Rhinolophus ferrumequinum: one gene and its partner. The protein of the gene in region 1 purifies or fractionates together with the protein of each later gene. This does not show direct contact. Links are inferred from orthologs where the notes say so. Each region holds a gene or a part of one and is shown on either strand. Other genes may lie near its edges.

What was found. Proteins that work in one complex are often made in the same cells at the same time.
Region 2: the proteins of NDEL1 (region 1) and DYNC1I1 purify together in Homo sapiens (affinity purification with western blotting; 3 studies listed by BioGRID and IntAct, with this or other methods). This does not show direct contact. The link is inferred for Rhinolophus ferrumequinum from reciprocal best matches to the Homo sapiens genes NDEL1 and DYNC1I1.

Annotation. Positions count from the first base shown.
Region 1 is NC_046304.1:10,629,165-10,636,955, reverse strand, and holds the start of NDEL1 (nuclear distribution protein nudE-like 1), read left to right. Parts: upstream 1-4,673; 5' UTR 4,674-4,805; intron 4,806-7,791. UniProt on the Homo sapiens protein: Required for organization of the cellular microtubule array and microtubule anchoring at the centrosome. May regulate microtubule organization at least in part by targeting the microtubule severing protein KATNA1 to the centrosome.
Region 2 is NC_046303.1:31,145,418-31,153,669, forward strand, and holds the start of DYNC1I1 (cytoplasmic dynein 1 intermediate chain 1), read right to left. Parts: upstream 3,306-8,252; 5' UTR 3,060-3,305; exon of another isoform or gene 2,865-3,059; intron 1-2,864. UniProt on the Homo sapiens protein: Acts as one of several non-catalytic accessory components of the cytoplasmic dynein 1 complex that are thought to be involved in linking dynein to cargos and to adapter proteins that regulate dynein function.

The DNA of each region.
Region 1 (7,791 bases):
TTATTCACCTTGCCTGGGTATTATTATAATTTCATTTCCACACACACACGCACACACACAACACAACACAAACTTAAAACCTTCCACTTTCTACTGTCATCACTGTCAATATCCTAGCGCAAGACAACATGAGACTCTTGTTTGGAATGCTAACTTAGCCTTTTAACTTCTCTTCCTCTTTCCACTCTCCTTCCTTTACCCTGCCCTCCATGGTCTGTTTTCCACAGAAAAGTCAATTATCTTTTTAAAAAATGTACATTAGTTTACCTTTGCTTCTGGTAATAACAGAGTGGCTTGTATCAGACTAGGACACACATACACGCACGCAAACATACACACCTGATTTAAGGCTTCAGAGAGTAGCCAAAGTGGGCAGAACTTGAGTAAACATGATCCTGTATAAGAAAGAAAACACATTGAGGTGAGGGCGGGTCGTCTCCACTGCTTTTTCTTAAGGAAATTCCTTAAGGAATTTGCTGATTTGCTTGGGAGGCATTGAAGCTGAGCAGAAAATGGTGGCCTAAAGTTTTGGTAATAATCACAAGGCTCAAAAATTGGAGTTTAGGATCTGACAAGAAAGGGAGATCTGGTCAATATTCTAGGGTTTCACTTGAGACACCTGAGGGACTATGATTTATGAGTAAGGGTAATCCAGAAATAGACCAGCCCACACAAAGCCTGGGACATCTCACTTCCTGACCGGATCCAATTATTTGACCCTACTCTAACTGCCTGAGGAAAAAAATCCCAAAAACAAAAGCCCCAGAAATTTACACCTCTCCTGGAGAAATAACGTTATCTAGAGCCTCTACAACTTTTTAATTTACCCAGCATCCAGCAATTAACAAAAATTAACAGATATATTAGGAGACACATCCAAATAAGCAAAAACCAAGAGAGAAAAAAAACAAGACGATAGCATTAAATCCAAAGGAGAAAAAGATATTGATATTATTATACACGGTCTCTAATACATTCAAGAAAGTAGATGGAGAACTAGTAACAATTTTAAAAAGAACCAAATGGAAATCCTAGAATTGAAAAATACAATGACTGAAATAAAAAAACTCTACAGATAGGTTTAACAGCAGGTTAGTATAACAGGAGAGAAGGTTAGTAAACTGTTAGGTCAGTAGAAAATATTCAGTCTGAAGTATGAAGTGAGGGAAAAAATGAAAAATACAGAAAAGAGCATAAGAGAATACAGCACGTGGTGTAAAGATCTAAATTACATTTAATTGGAGTCACTTAAGTAAATAGTAAATGGTTCAGATGCAATAGTTGAAGAGTTATTGATTACAGATTTTATAATATTAATGAAATACGTTAAACCACAGATTTAAGAAACTCTACAAGTCTTAAACCAAATAAATACAAAAAATCCCCACCTAGGCACATTGTAGTAAACCTTCTAAAAATCAAAGACAAAGAGAATTTTTAAAATTTGCCCTAGGGAAAAAACATTACTTTCAGAGGAGTAGTAATACTAACAGCTCATTTTCAAGATAAATGATGGAATCCAGGAGACAGCGGAAGTCAAGGGTACATGTTATAATCTTTAAATGACTGAAAGAATATAGCTGCCAATGCAGAATTTTGTACAGAGAAAAATATTCTTCAAAAATGAAGGTGGAACAAATGAAAACAGAGAGAATTCATTGCCAAGAGAGCTGCACTGAAAGAAATACTAAAGGACTGAAATACTTTCATTACACAGAATGAAAATGATCCCAAAGGAAGCAAAGAAATGCAGGAATAAATAAATGATAAGAGGTAAATGTGCAAGAGGTAAATGTGTGGGGAAAATACATGAATATTGACAGTATAGAACAAAAATAATATCTTAAGAGTTTAAAAATTAAAATATTTAACAATCATAACCAAAAGGCAGAAGAGGGATAAGTGGAGTTGAATTGTAAGATTCTTGCATTATCTGGGAAGTCGTAAATGTGTAAATTGTAGTAGACTAATAATTCAAGGATGTATGCTGTAATTTTTGATAACCATTAAAAGAATAATAAAATAATGTATCATTAAAAAGCCAATGGCAGAAATAGAATAATTTCAAAAATCTAAAAAAAGGTTTGAAATAGGGACATTTCTTAAAAATGTCTTTTACTATTTGCATTTCTTCTGCTATGAACTTATCTGTATCTTTTGCCCAATTTTATATTTAGATTGCTTCCTTTTTTATTGATTTTAGATGGATATTAATATACATACATAGAAATATGTGTATGTGAATGTTGCAAGTACTTTCTTGCAGGGATCAGTTTTAAATCTTTATGCCTTGGTCAGAACCCTAAGGGCCTGGTTTGACCACTTGATTTGACGTTAACGAGAAGAGGTCGGTTGAGTCTTAAGCTTTGCACCTAGTAGGTAGGAGCTCAACAAATGTCTAATGAACTGAATTGAGGAGGTCAAGGGGCTAAGCAAACATGGGGTGCTACATTACGGTCATTTAGGGAGTACGGAGTTATCTAAACCTGTGACAAGAGTAGCAAATGGTGAGTGTTTAAGGCCAACGAGGGAGCAGAAACAAACTGGGCTGGGAAGAATTACAGGATCTCCAGGAGAAGTTTCAGCCAGCCGCACACTCCTGTGCTGCCTGCGGCTCTGAGTGAGGAGGATGCCTGGAACAGAAACGTGTGATGCAAACCTAATCAAGACCAGCAGGTGGCACTCTAATGACCTCCCATTACTCTCAGACTCCCAGGGCAAAGACCGTTTTTGAGTGAGATGAGGTGGAAACTGACCCGGGCATAGGGAGCCTCCAACCCTAAATTTTAGGCTCTGTGCTTCCTCCAGAGGTGAAATCCCAAAGATCAAGAGTCCTGTGGTGTTTTTTTTAAATTTTTCTGTGCTTGCTTTGCCCATGGGTGCCTGTATAGCACCATCTGTTCAATTCAACTTAGACCAATATGGCTCAAACTTTGATGAGCAAACAAATTGCCTGAATCTCTTGAGAAAATGTAAATTATGATTCAGTAGGACTGGGGTGGGGTCTGAGGTTCTGCATTTCTAACAAGCTCCCTGGTGATGACTCACACTTAGTCATTCTAACATTTAGAACATGCTGCCTGTAAGGTCCCCCACCTCTGTGCAACATGGGAGGTGGGAGAGAAGCCAACCAGGACTCTGCCCTCAAATTTATAGCTTCCTAGAGTAAACTCCCACTGTAATGTGTACAATACAAGTTAGAGTGTGTCTACTTACTGTGTGACCTTGGGCAAGTTGCATGACCTCTTTGGGTCTCAGTTTCCTCATCTGTAAAATGGGAATAGTAACAGCCTCTACCTTATTTGAAGGTTAAAGCAGGATATTATATGTAAAGCACTTAGCACAGTACCTGGCACATAGTAAGCCTCAACAAGGCTTGGGGTCCACTAAGAAAGTATGGAGCAAGGCAGGGAGCCCTAGCGGGGTGGTAAACTGGAGGGAACAAGAGGTGAGGGACAATCTTCATGAAGGTGCCATCGTTGGAAAAGAAGGGGGTCAGGGAGGTGAGAACAGAGCCAGGAGGAGGGCGTGTCTCCAGATAAGGTGACAGACCTAAGGGTTGCTTTTGAGGGAGAGTTAATGATGGTGCAGGCTAAGCAGGCTTCCTTCTGGAAACGGATGGGGTGCACAGGAGCAGATTTTCAGGCAGATCAAGCTTCAGCTTTCAGCACACTCCCCCGTTTCACATCTGTAGGTGTTTTAGGGCATTGTGGGAGGAGCTAAGGGGAACCAAGGATCACCCTGGCCCTGCCCTCGTGCAAGGCTTTGCCATAGCCAGCCCAACCTCAGCCTCACTGCTATGGGTTCTCAGCCCTGGTACCTGAGTTTACCTATATGCTTTAAGAAGGGTGGTGTTTCCATAGCATCTTGAAGGTCCACCAACACTTATTGACTAACTTCCAGTGCTCTGCTGAATGCTCCTGGGGATACAGAGACAAATCCACACAGCCCCTACCCTCACTGGGTGACCCTGAGGAGATAAAACATCACCATGGGAAAGGAATCATCAATGATGGGCCTCAGCAGCAGTTCTTACAAATAGTGCTTTTCCTCTATGGTGAGACTAAATGACACATGAGAGCCGTAGCCACTGTGGATGTGACAGGTGTTCAGGGTAACTCTTCAGACCAAGTGGTCTGACCTGATACGGCCTGGAGGAGTGGGTCAGAGTTGGAGAGGCAGAAAGGGGGAGGAACACTGCCAACTGCTAAAGTGACACCTGGACTGTGTGAAGCCAATTACCCGTCATCTCGTTTAAGCCTAAACAATACTATGAGGTCAGTACTGGTTTTACCTCCATTTCATACACGGGGAAAATGAGACTCGGAGACGCAAAGCAGCTCGTTCAAGGTTTCACAGCTGGAAGTGGTAGGTGGAGGCTATCTGACTTGGTTTACTCTCTTAAGTACCCCGTATGTGCTGTGCATCTCCTCCCCTTAATAAGTGACAGCTTTCCCCCTTGCCTTTCCCCTCCAAATACAGGGACAGTCATACACGCCTGCAGTGGAAATGGGGACTTTTGAAGGCCTGGCTAAAGAGTTAGGACTTGAATTTCTTTTTTCACTTCCCCAGCACTGAAGTCTTGCTCAACTCCAGCTAAGCAATGAGGCTGGCAGGGTTGCCTCACTTCTAGAAGGCAGGCCCAAGCCTTCCTGGCCCAAACCCACTTCCTGTCCTTGTGCCTCGTTTGTCAGAAGATGATTCTCACGCTTCCTGTTGACTTCTACTTTGTTTCAGCTGGTTCAGTGACGTCCCCCCAAGGGCTGCTGTTGATCTGATCAGTGAAGCCTGGGACACAGGACCAGGTACATTGGGACAGTGGGGTTCTGCTCAGAGAGGGTCTGGGGAGGGCCGCCCTGAGACACACCAGAATGGGGGACTCCTGGTGGTCTGAGGACCCTCTCAGACCCCCATGTGACGAGGGACTGTCAAAGACTAAGGTCAATTTGTGAGGTTGGCTATGCTCCTGTGGGGGTGACACCAGGGGTTTGCTTTGGTGGCTTCCTAAATCACATTATCTGCCCATATCCCTCTGAGAATTCATCACCTTGATGTGGTTTTCTATTTCCTGGGCTGCCCAGGTAGCATTGTTCTGGGTTGTAGCAAGTGCTTCTTGGGTTCAGACAGGTTTATCTGGGACTGACTGAGACATAGTTGGTGTGAAGCTTGAAATTGTGCTGAGCTGACCAAGTTAGGGGCTTGTGGTTAAGTCCTAACTCCTTGTTTTTCTTGTGGGCAAGTCACTTCCCTTCCCTCTGAACCTGTTTCCTCGTCCACAGGAATGTCAAAATAGCTCTATGTTGTGGGATTTTTGTGATGCTTCAACAGGACAATGATTGTGAAAGTGTTTTGTAAACTGAAAGATGGTATTCTTCCAGGTTTTATTTCATTTTCTAAATGGAACTCGACTTTTTAAAAATGATAACATCATAGTTGAAAAAAATCCAAACCAGGCAGTGAAAGTTTTAACATAATTCCATCCCTGAAGATTACTAGTATTGACACTTTGGTGTATAGACTTCTAGAATAAAACAATTAAAAACAGTTTTTATTGTGGTAAAATACACATAACAAAAAATTTACCATTGTTAAATGTATACTTCATCACTGCCATCCATCTCCAGGACTATTTCATCTTCCCAAAGAGAAATTGTACCTATTGAACAATAACTTCCCATTCCGCTGTCCCCCTGGAACCTGGCAACCACCATTGTACTTTCTGTCTCTATGAATTTGACTACTCTAGGTACCGCATATGTAAGTGGAATCATATAGTACTTGTCTTTTTGTGACTGCCTTTTTCACTTAGCATGATGTCGTCAAGGTTGATCTATGGTATAGCATGTGTCAGAATTTCCTTTCTTTTGAAGGCTGAATAACATTTCATTGGAGTAGAGACCACGTTTTGTTTATCCATTCTTCTGTTGATGGACATTTGGGTTGTTTCTACCTTTTGGCTATTGTGAATAATGCGGCTATGAACATGGGTGTACAAACATCTGTTTGAGTCCTTCGAATTCTTTTGGGTATATACTCACAAATGGATTTGCTGCATCATATAGTAATTCTATTTTTAATTTTTTGAGGAGCCTTCATACTGTTTTCCACAGTGGCTGCACCATTTTATATTCTTACTAGCAGTGCACGAATGTTCCAATTTCTCCACATTCTCACCAACACTTGTTATTTTCTCTTCTTTTTTGATAGTAGCCATCCTTTGGGTATGCAGTGGTATCTCATTGTAGTTTTGATTTGCATTTTTCTAATGATTAGTGATGTGGAGCATCTTTTCATGTACTTGTTAGCCATTTGTATATCTTCATTGGCAAAATGGTCTATTTAAGTCCTTTGCCCATTTTTTAATTCACATTGTTTGGGTTTTTCTTGTTGAGTTATAGGAGTTCTTTATATATTCTGGAAATTAACTAGACTTTTAAATATTTTTATGTCAAACTCTACTTGCTATCCTGTAACCTTTTTCACTTAATATCTCTTGAGTATCATCTCATGTTAATTTATAAATATCTACCTTGTCTTTCTTAACAGCTGTGTAGTATTCCAGTACATGGGTGTACTATGATTTATTAAACCAGTCTCCTACCGATGGGTGTTTATATTGTTGCCAATTTATTGGTATAATTATAAACAATGCTGCAATAACATCACTGAACATACATTTTTGCATACAATCATTATTTCCTTAGGATAAATCCTTACAAGTTGATTTCTGGGTTAAAAATTATACATATATTTACAGTTTTAATTCCTTTTTCCAGATTCCTCTAATAAATGTCATACCACTTTATTATTTTCAATTTTATATCCACTTTAAAACAACACAAAGCTAACAATAAAAATAGCGATTCCCTGGCCCACTTTCCACTTCCTAGTTCTCTCTATCAGAGACAAACATTTTCAATTATCTTAGTTGTTTCTATTTCCAAATAAAGTAACTAATGTGAGTATTTTTTTCTATTTTAGTCATTATCTATTGACTTCTTATTATGAAAAGTAAGATATAGCGCTCTTATATCATTCTATCAACATTATTGCTCCCCGTCTTCTTCATATGGTTATATCACAAATTTTGGTTAAATCAATATTCATGTTTATGTTATGTAAGTACGTGATGCTATGACTATGTAAGCATTGTTCTCTGAGCTACGTAATATATTATTATTATTACTATTATTATTGCCTTTCTTTTGCCTATTTTCCCCTCTTTGAGTTGAAAGTTGCCTCGGTTTTTCATTTCCTTGATTTTTATATACATATCACTGATTCCTTTCCAACAGAGATATTAAAGTTCTCTCAATATGAACAGATACATCAGATAATTTCTCAGTTTCCATCTTCTTTTCTTTCGTTTATTCCTCAGACACATCTCCCTGCAGCCTTATCCTAATGCTCCAGTCTGGGCTGGTTGCTCTCTTTTCCTACTGCTCAGTGTTGTCCTGGCATACCCCTACCGTCATCTTAGGAATTCCCTTTTCACTCTCTTACGTAGGCCCTTTCTCTTTTTGATGCTACTTCTTTGTTTGTTTGTTTATACATTTTTAAAAATTGTGGTAAAATATATCTAACAAAGTTTATCATTTTAATCCTTTTTTTAAAGTGCTCAGCTCATTGGCATTAAGTACATTCATATTGCTGTGCAACCATCACCGCCATCCATCACTAGAACTTCTTTATCTTCCCAAGTGGACCTGTGGACCCATTAAACACTAACTCTGCAGCCCCGGACTGGCAACACCATTCTATTTTCTGTCTTTATGATTTTGAAGAGAATCA
Region 2 (8,252 bases), on another chromosome or scaffold:
GGGATGTAGGAGCCACAAAAGTTCCTAATAAAAGGGATCTCCATATCAAGGAAACAACTATTTACCTGGCATTTGAGATCCACAAAGTATTACAGGGAATTAGCTAACTTCGTTAAGGAGATAGAACCAAGACAACATTTAATTTCAAAAGAGCAATAGTCCTACTTTGGGTCTGCCACATCATCCACAGCAAAAAAAGTATGGCTATACTTGAGGCGTAAAGGAAATAACAATGGCTCACAGGGAAACTGAACAGCAAACCCAAAAGAACCAGACAAGCTCGGCTTTTTGTTTCACAGAGGACACTAGCGAAAATGGATGAGTTTTGGTCTTAGAGTTGGACAGATCTGACTTGAATCCTACCTCTGCTATTTATTAACTATAACCTTGACTATGTCACGTAACTGAGTTTCATCATCTGCAAAATATGGGTAATTATCTACTTCACAGGATTAATATAAGGAACAAAATGAGATAACATAAGAAAAGAGGCTGGTATTCCATAGATGAAAATTAACCAATAGAATTGTTGACTCTACAGAAGAGTAGAGTCAGACTGCCAGGTTCAAATCCTGTCTCTACAACTTATCAGCTGAGCAATTTTCAGAAAGTTACTTGACATCTTTGCGTCTTAGTTTCCTCATCTGTCAAATAGGATTACAAATAATATAATACCTCATAAGATTTTGGTAAGGATTACGTAAGTTAATACATGGAAAAGTAGTTTAAAATGTAATGCCTGTTCAAGTGCTCAATACATTTTAGTAAATGTAGTATAATTCATTTACTAAATGTCCTGAGCAATGCTAAATTGCTCAATATATTATCAACCTTTGTTTTATTTGGTGGAACAAAGTGTAAGGAGAACAAAATGGTGAGGGAATATACTTATGTTTGCAACAGATGTGTATGTCCTTTTCATTTGATGCTAGATTAGTGACAGACAGAAACAGGGTGACAAGGGAGAATGAATGGCCCATTTAGGCATCTAACTGTGGATGTAGCCTATGCACACAGTCTGTGCTAAGAGACACAGCTGGATTTAAAGACCTGGCGTGTGTTTTAGAGGACTGGACCTCGGGGCTGTTCTGAGTATGGACAGTGCAGCACCCTAGATGGATCCCCAAGAATTTCTTGGGTCTGCACTGGAGTTAAGAGAAAGGCTTATTTAGCAAATGTAGACTTGGAAAAGAGTGGGGAAGTAAAAGGGGTGTGGAAGAAAGCTAAAGAGCCCCTTCTTAGACATAAAACAGGCTGACAGAAATGCTGGGTGACTTCCTCTTACTATCTTAGGAGTTAGAAACTAGAGACCAGGAACCACCACTGTAAGAATCTGCCCCATTGTCCTGTGGGTTGAGTTTCTTTCCTCTGCCCATACCCCAAATGGCGATTATACCTAACGATGTAGATCTTTAACACAAAAAGAGTTCAGGACATGTTTTCAATAGGAGAGGACAGGCTCAGTAGGAGGAGGAGCTGAGCCATCCCTCTCCTCTAGAGCACTGGGCAGCAGAGGCTGCAGTAGCCGAGGTCCAAATGGAGAGGAAGTAGGTGAATCTGTGCCTGTGGCTAGAGACGAGGAAGAAAAAGAGATGTTCTGGTCCCCAAACTGGGCCCAGAGCTGGACAGGCTGGGAAAAGCCTGCACTGGGCCCAAACATCCCCACGATGGTGCTAGAAGACTTTTAAGAGAAATGGCTCTTTGAGCACTGGGTCCTCACACCTTAAGAAATTTGGAAGCGTTGGTGTCTATGAAGAGAACATTGGACAACTTAGTGGTAGGAGTGTCTGGTTTTATTTTATTGAGAAATATGGTCAGAAGCAGAGTTTGGGCTCTTTTTCCCCCCACACCAAAACTTTCAGAGAAAATTTGGCATTTTAAATAATCGGAGAAAGTATTCATCCCATTCCCACTAGGACTCTTAGGATGCAGCTTGCACTGAAAGCTCCATTTCAAATTTACTAACACTGATCACCATCTTTCTCTATAATTTCTACAATGAAAATATGTATATAGACAGTCACTCATATGTGTGCTAAATAGTAGCCCTATGATGTCTTCTGCAGTTACAGATGCTTTACTGTTAGCTGAGATTCCTGCTAATCTGAAATACTTGGAAGCAATTTTTCATAACCTTGAACTACAAGAAGTCTAGCGTGCCCACTTGAAATGTATTCCAGGCAAGAAAATGGCTGGCTACTTTTTCCTGCCCCCTCACCTAGATAGATGTAGCAGAAGCCAGGATAATGATTGTATTCCATCTTCGGGCATTTTTGTTGAGTCTCTGATTTCCTAAGTAATTTCCTGTCCTGATCCTGGGTTTCTGCTTAACCTTATTAGCGGAGGTACAAGTCATGAGACTCTGGCACACTCAGTTCCCATCGGTGCTGCCAGGATCACAGCCCTTATGATGACGACGCACAGATGTATAAGGCCAGAGTGATTTTCGGGAGTGGGAGTGGGGGAAGGAGAACCACGCAGCCGGTAAGGTGTTTACGAAAACACATCCCCCACCCGCACTTTTTTGCAGCCTTGAGAGAAACTGGCATCTTCCTGCGTGCGTGTTAATTAATGTCCTGCTGGAAGTACATTCGCTCCCTCCAACTTGGCGGGTAGCAACAGCATCTAAGACCCTTGCAGACAGCTGAGAATGTAATCAAACAGCATCCTTCTTTCCCTTCCTCTGCAGCTCCCTCCTCCTTCCAGGGCCGTCTGCTGGTGGCCCAGAGGGGTGCGGATTTCACTGCCGCTGGCCTTCTGCTCCCCAAGAGAAGACCGAGGCGGGGCTCCCTGGGACGCCCCTCCCCGCCCACAAGGTGGGCGACAAGGTGAAGACACCACGACCCCTCCTCCTCTGCACTCACCTCTCGGCTCTGCTGGGAGAGCTGCAGGAAGGGGCCGCCGCTGGAGGGCTCTGGCCACCTTAGGGCGCAGCGGAGCACGCAGGATGCTGCGCGGGGCCGAGCGAGGGTCCGGCTGCGGCTGCCGGGGCCGCACTACTGTTGCGCAGGGGCGCCGACGCGACGGCGGGAGAGCGCGACACCCCCCCTTCTCTGTACCTGGACGCGCTCGGCGGCGGCTGCTCTGGATCCCCCGAGCGCGGCGGCGGCCCCCGGGCGACTCCGGAGGGCGGCGGGCGCGGCGCGCGCAGGATGTGCTGTCTCACGCTGCGCCGGCCGCTCGGCTCACGCTCCTCCGGGAGCCAGCACTTCCTCTCTCTCCCCGAGCCTGACACTGACAGCTCCCGGGAGCACCCAGTCTGCGGGGCTCGCCCCGCCCCCGGCCCACGCCCTCCACGCCCCGCGCCCCTCCCGCGGGAGCGCCTCCGCTCTCCCTCTCCCTCACCCGGTCTCTGGAGGAGGGAGTGGCGCTGGTCCAGAGGTGGAAGCGAGCAGGCAACCCGCGGAGGTCAATTGGTCTATCCCTATGCAATCGGCAGGACTCACACCTAAGTTGCTGCAAACAGAAGAGTTTCAGTGTTTTGGGAGCTCCTGCTGACATGCCAACATTAACCAACTTGCACTCCCAGACAATTACTTTAAGGTTATTTAAACAGAAATAGGAAGCTCAGATCCCATCCATCCGCTACACACAGACTTATATGTCTGATTTATCCCTATTTTTTCCCAGAAGAAAAAAATATCTATAGCTTGCCTCCACAACATTGTTTCTTAGAGTCCTAGCTTTTAAAATCCTGGTTATCCATTCTTGGACTGCCCCCAAACCTTGCCATAACTGCTACATTTTAAGGCCCAGGAATGGATTTTGGGATTTTAATCAACTCAGGTTTGGCATCACTATATAGGTAAGCTTTTCATCATGTTTCTTGAGTATCTATGTGTAATAATCCTAACTGGAACTTTAAGGGAACATAATCAGTTGGAAGGATCTGTGAGAGGAGCTAGGGCTTATGGAAATTCTCACACTCGAGAAATGGTGAGAACCCTATAGGAAAAACTCTGTTGATAATAATACTCTGTGGTTCTAACTTCCCTCAGACTTAACTTCCATTTTCCCTTATATAAATACCCTCCCTTGTATAAATGGCACTTAAGCCAGAGTGTGCACGTGGCTTGCCGTGTCTGCATGCAGTGGATTGCAACACTTTCTTCTTCCTGGAATAAATTCTTTTTGGTGACGAAACATGTAGTTGATAATTATTTTTCAGTTGACATGTTTGGTCATTGTACACATTAGAATGAAAGTTAATAGAGGGCAAGGACTGTATCTTATTCACTGCTGCATCCCCAATACCTACAACAGTGTTTGATGCATAATTGTTGCGTAAATGTGTATGAATTTTTTCAGTCAGCAAGTACTACAGTAATTTCAAAATAAATCTAGATCTGGTTGTAAATACAATACCATACTTATCTATAAAATGGCCATCCCTGTTCCAATTTTTGCCTACCTGGCAAATTATTGTGACCATAAATATGGTTAAAAAAGAGACAGGTGAAATATCTTTAAATAGAAAGAATTCAAGATAGTCCAGAAGAAAAACTCTATGAAACAAATACTTGCCTCTGCCATGTATTGGATACTTACTACAATCATGTACTGCTTAACAACAGGGATATGTTATAAAAAATTCACCGTGAAGTGATTTCCTGGTTGTGCAAACATCATAGAGTGTACTGTTAAAAAACAAAAGTTAACCAAGTAAATTTGAAAATCTGATTGGCTTTCTTAAGTGATTTATGAATCAAGCAGCATCCCATTTAGCAACTAAGTTCCCAGTACTCAGAGGAGTTGAACAAAATGGAAGGTTTTTATAAGAAGAAGGATGGGGCAAGGGAGCTATCAACAAAAGAAAACAAAGGATTAATTTTAGACCAGGACAGCTTCTCTTAGGAGGAAGGGAATAGCAAGGATTTTTATCATGCCGATTGCCTCTTCTTTCTATGGGGATGTGGGAGTGGATTGTGGAGAGGGCCTCAGTGACAGATTTCTTCATTGGTGTTGACCAGAAAATTCAAGACTGGTTTATTATGTTTCTGGGAAAGGTTCAAATAGCAATTAGGTCAAGTATTAAATCTAGGTTTGGCATTCAGGGGCTTTATGTTAGCACAAGTGATGCCTTTTTTTTTTTTTTTTTTTTGGCCTGTGGTTTTCTTTTTAACAGTATTTACACAAACCTATTTGGTATAGCCAACTACACACCTAGGCTATATAGTATAGTCTATTGCTCTGCAGGGGAGGAAAAATAATTTTTTCCTTACCCCTCTGTGTTCTTGACTGACACATCCTACAATAAAAGACAGATTAACAGGAGAAAAGGAAGTTTAATAACATGTATACCTCCCATATACATTGGAGAGATCCAGGAAAACTGAGTTAAAAATTTTTCCACGATCATGTACCCAGGCATAGTACAGATATTGGGTGTGGGACTGGAAGTGAATAAGAAAATAATGATCTCTACATTTTAGAGACTCAAAATCTAATGAAAAGACACAACTGGCTTTAACACCAAGCAGACTAGGAAAAGGATAACAATTGAAGACATTTGCCATGAGAGAAGGAGAAGAGGAAAATCCATTCCGGTTGGGAATCTTTACGATCTGGAAGGCCTCGTGGGAGAGGTTCTGGGTATATGTCTATAGTCAGATACAAATTTTGACAGATGGTCATGTGTGTTTGAGAACGGAGTTAAAGAGCAGGCAGAAACAGAGGCATAGACCTTATTTTTTATTGATAGATTTGTTTTTAGAGCATTCTAGGCTTACAAAAAAAAAAAAAGCACACTTGTACAGAAAGCATAGAGTTCCCATATACCCCCCTAAGAATTATAACTGCTCATTGCAAATATACCTGCTTCATCTCTTCATCTAGTTATTGCTCCAAATTTTGAAAGAAAGTCTCTAAGAAGGGATTAAGCAGCTACCACAAAACATGCTGGATAAATTCCTGACTTGCTAGCCACTAAAAGGTTGCTTTAGAATCCGTCAGAGAGACAATGGTATGGCTAAATGCCCCTACTCTGGAATCAGACTCTCTATCCACCACTTACTGGTTTTGTGTATTTGCGCATGTTGCTAGACTCCTCTGAGACTCAGGTCTCCTAGAAGTCAAAAGGGGGTAATAAAGATACTCATCTCCTGTGATATTTCACTGAGTTAATTCTTGTAAAGCATTTGGAACAGCCCCTAGCATATAATTACAAACATTCAATAAATGTTGGCCATAGTTTGCTCTTAGTAATCGAGTCGGCATGAAAAGTTCAAAAAGTGGAAATTTGTACCCTCTAAATTCAGTGTCTAATCTGTGACATTACCAGACTTTAGAGACCACTCAGACCTTGGGGTCACTACTATCCTTCAAGACAGATTTCTCTGTCTCTGTGCACCTATCGTTCATCAGTGCTGGATACAAACATGTCCCCACAGATGGTTCCCTTGTCTGCCTTACTTTCCTAGAGCCCCCCTTCACACAGGTTACCACGATACCCTTATATACCAGACCCCTGGATATCTGCCCAAGAATCTTTCCTGGAAGTTATTCCTCAGTTCATTATATCTTGGTCACGAGAAATAAAACTGAAAATTACCTCAGTGATCCGAAGGCCTGAAAATTACGGAAAAGAAACATGAGACATCTGAATCAGCTATAAAAAATATAAGGTGCTGAAGAAGGAAAAAAATGCTTGGAAATATTCTCTAGTTAAGATACGCCTCTACATCATGCTCAGAATAAAACCCTGTCAGGAAGCTAATAAAACCACCGCCCAAGGTCATATACCATTTTGTGTGGGGTATATATCAGAGGGATATGTTTTACATATTTTTCTATTATAAGACTGAAGTTGGTTTGTTTGCACCAAATCCAAACAATAACAGATGTCCAGAAGCCATTGCATTACTAATGTTTGAAGATTTATTAGAAATCAAAGAGTGATTTATGGGGAAATCAATGATTCCATCATCTAAAGCAACTCCTGCTATTTGTCTTTTGGATGCTTTTCGTGAATGGACGTTAACTATGGTTTCATATAGTAGGTGTAAAGAATCTGCAATAAATAAATAAATAAATAGACACATTTTTTCAATTTTGAAAGAATGAATTCAGAGATATCTGCTGTATAGTTTTAGATTTTTCTAAATGCTTTTTTGGATAACTTCCAAATGCAACTTCAATTATACAGTAATTACCTAAATGTGTAATATAATTGTATTATTATCAGCCATATTTCCACTACTTTCACTTTTGTCTCCATGTGTCTTTGCTCCTCCCACACCTTCTTACATTTCCTTCCATCAGCTTTTCTTTCCAGGATAATGGTAAGCCAAAATGTACGTGTTTTTAACAATCAATAATAAGATGCAACAATGAAAACATCTATACAACAAAACAAAAAACTTTTTAATCTTAAAAAAATTGTTTTAAGCACTAACATTGATGGGGGAAAGAAACCAATGATTACAAAACATAAATTATTTATGTTGTTTTCAATTCACTTTCCATCAGTGTTTAAATATAAATCATTATTTTTCCCAACTGTGAAATCAGCATCTATATCCTTGTTTGTGTTCTGCCTTGTTACTTGTTATTTCAAATTTATATTTCTAGGAATCAAATAAACCTACCCTACCAGAGGAAATGAATCATTTCTTCATTCACTACTTCAGCAGATATTTCCTAGAAACATATTTCATAGTTCTTGTAACTGGTCCTTGGAAGGATTGATCCTAATAGCTCTATCTGCCATAGCTCTCCCAAGACTTTACAAAATCATCTATATTTGTTTAGAAGTAATTAAATGTATATACACTGGTAATGTGCATGTGCCTTTAACCAGCAAACTTGAGCATTTTTCTTTATGGTGCTTTATTATCTGTTATTTCTCATGTGCTAAGTCTTAATATCATTTGATTATTTGAGACATGAAATCTAAATATTTTATGTATTTTAGAATATAAATTTTATATTTTACATGTTTCTCACTTTTCTTTCTTCTTATCTTTACTTCATTATAGAGTCATACCTTAAGAATAATTATAAAACAGTTTGTATAAAACAACACAATTTTATAGTATTAAAGGAATGCACATATAAATCAGTAATATTACATTGAGGTCAAGAACACAGGCTCTGGAGTCAGGCATACTTAGGTTAAAACTTCCTATGATTCACTAGCTGTGTAATTCTCTGCATATTGATTAAACCCTGTAAGCCTCAATGTCTTCGTCTGTAAAATGGGCATAATGGTATTAAGATTGTAATAGGATTAAATGATATAATGTTTATAAAGC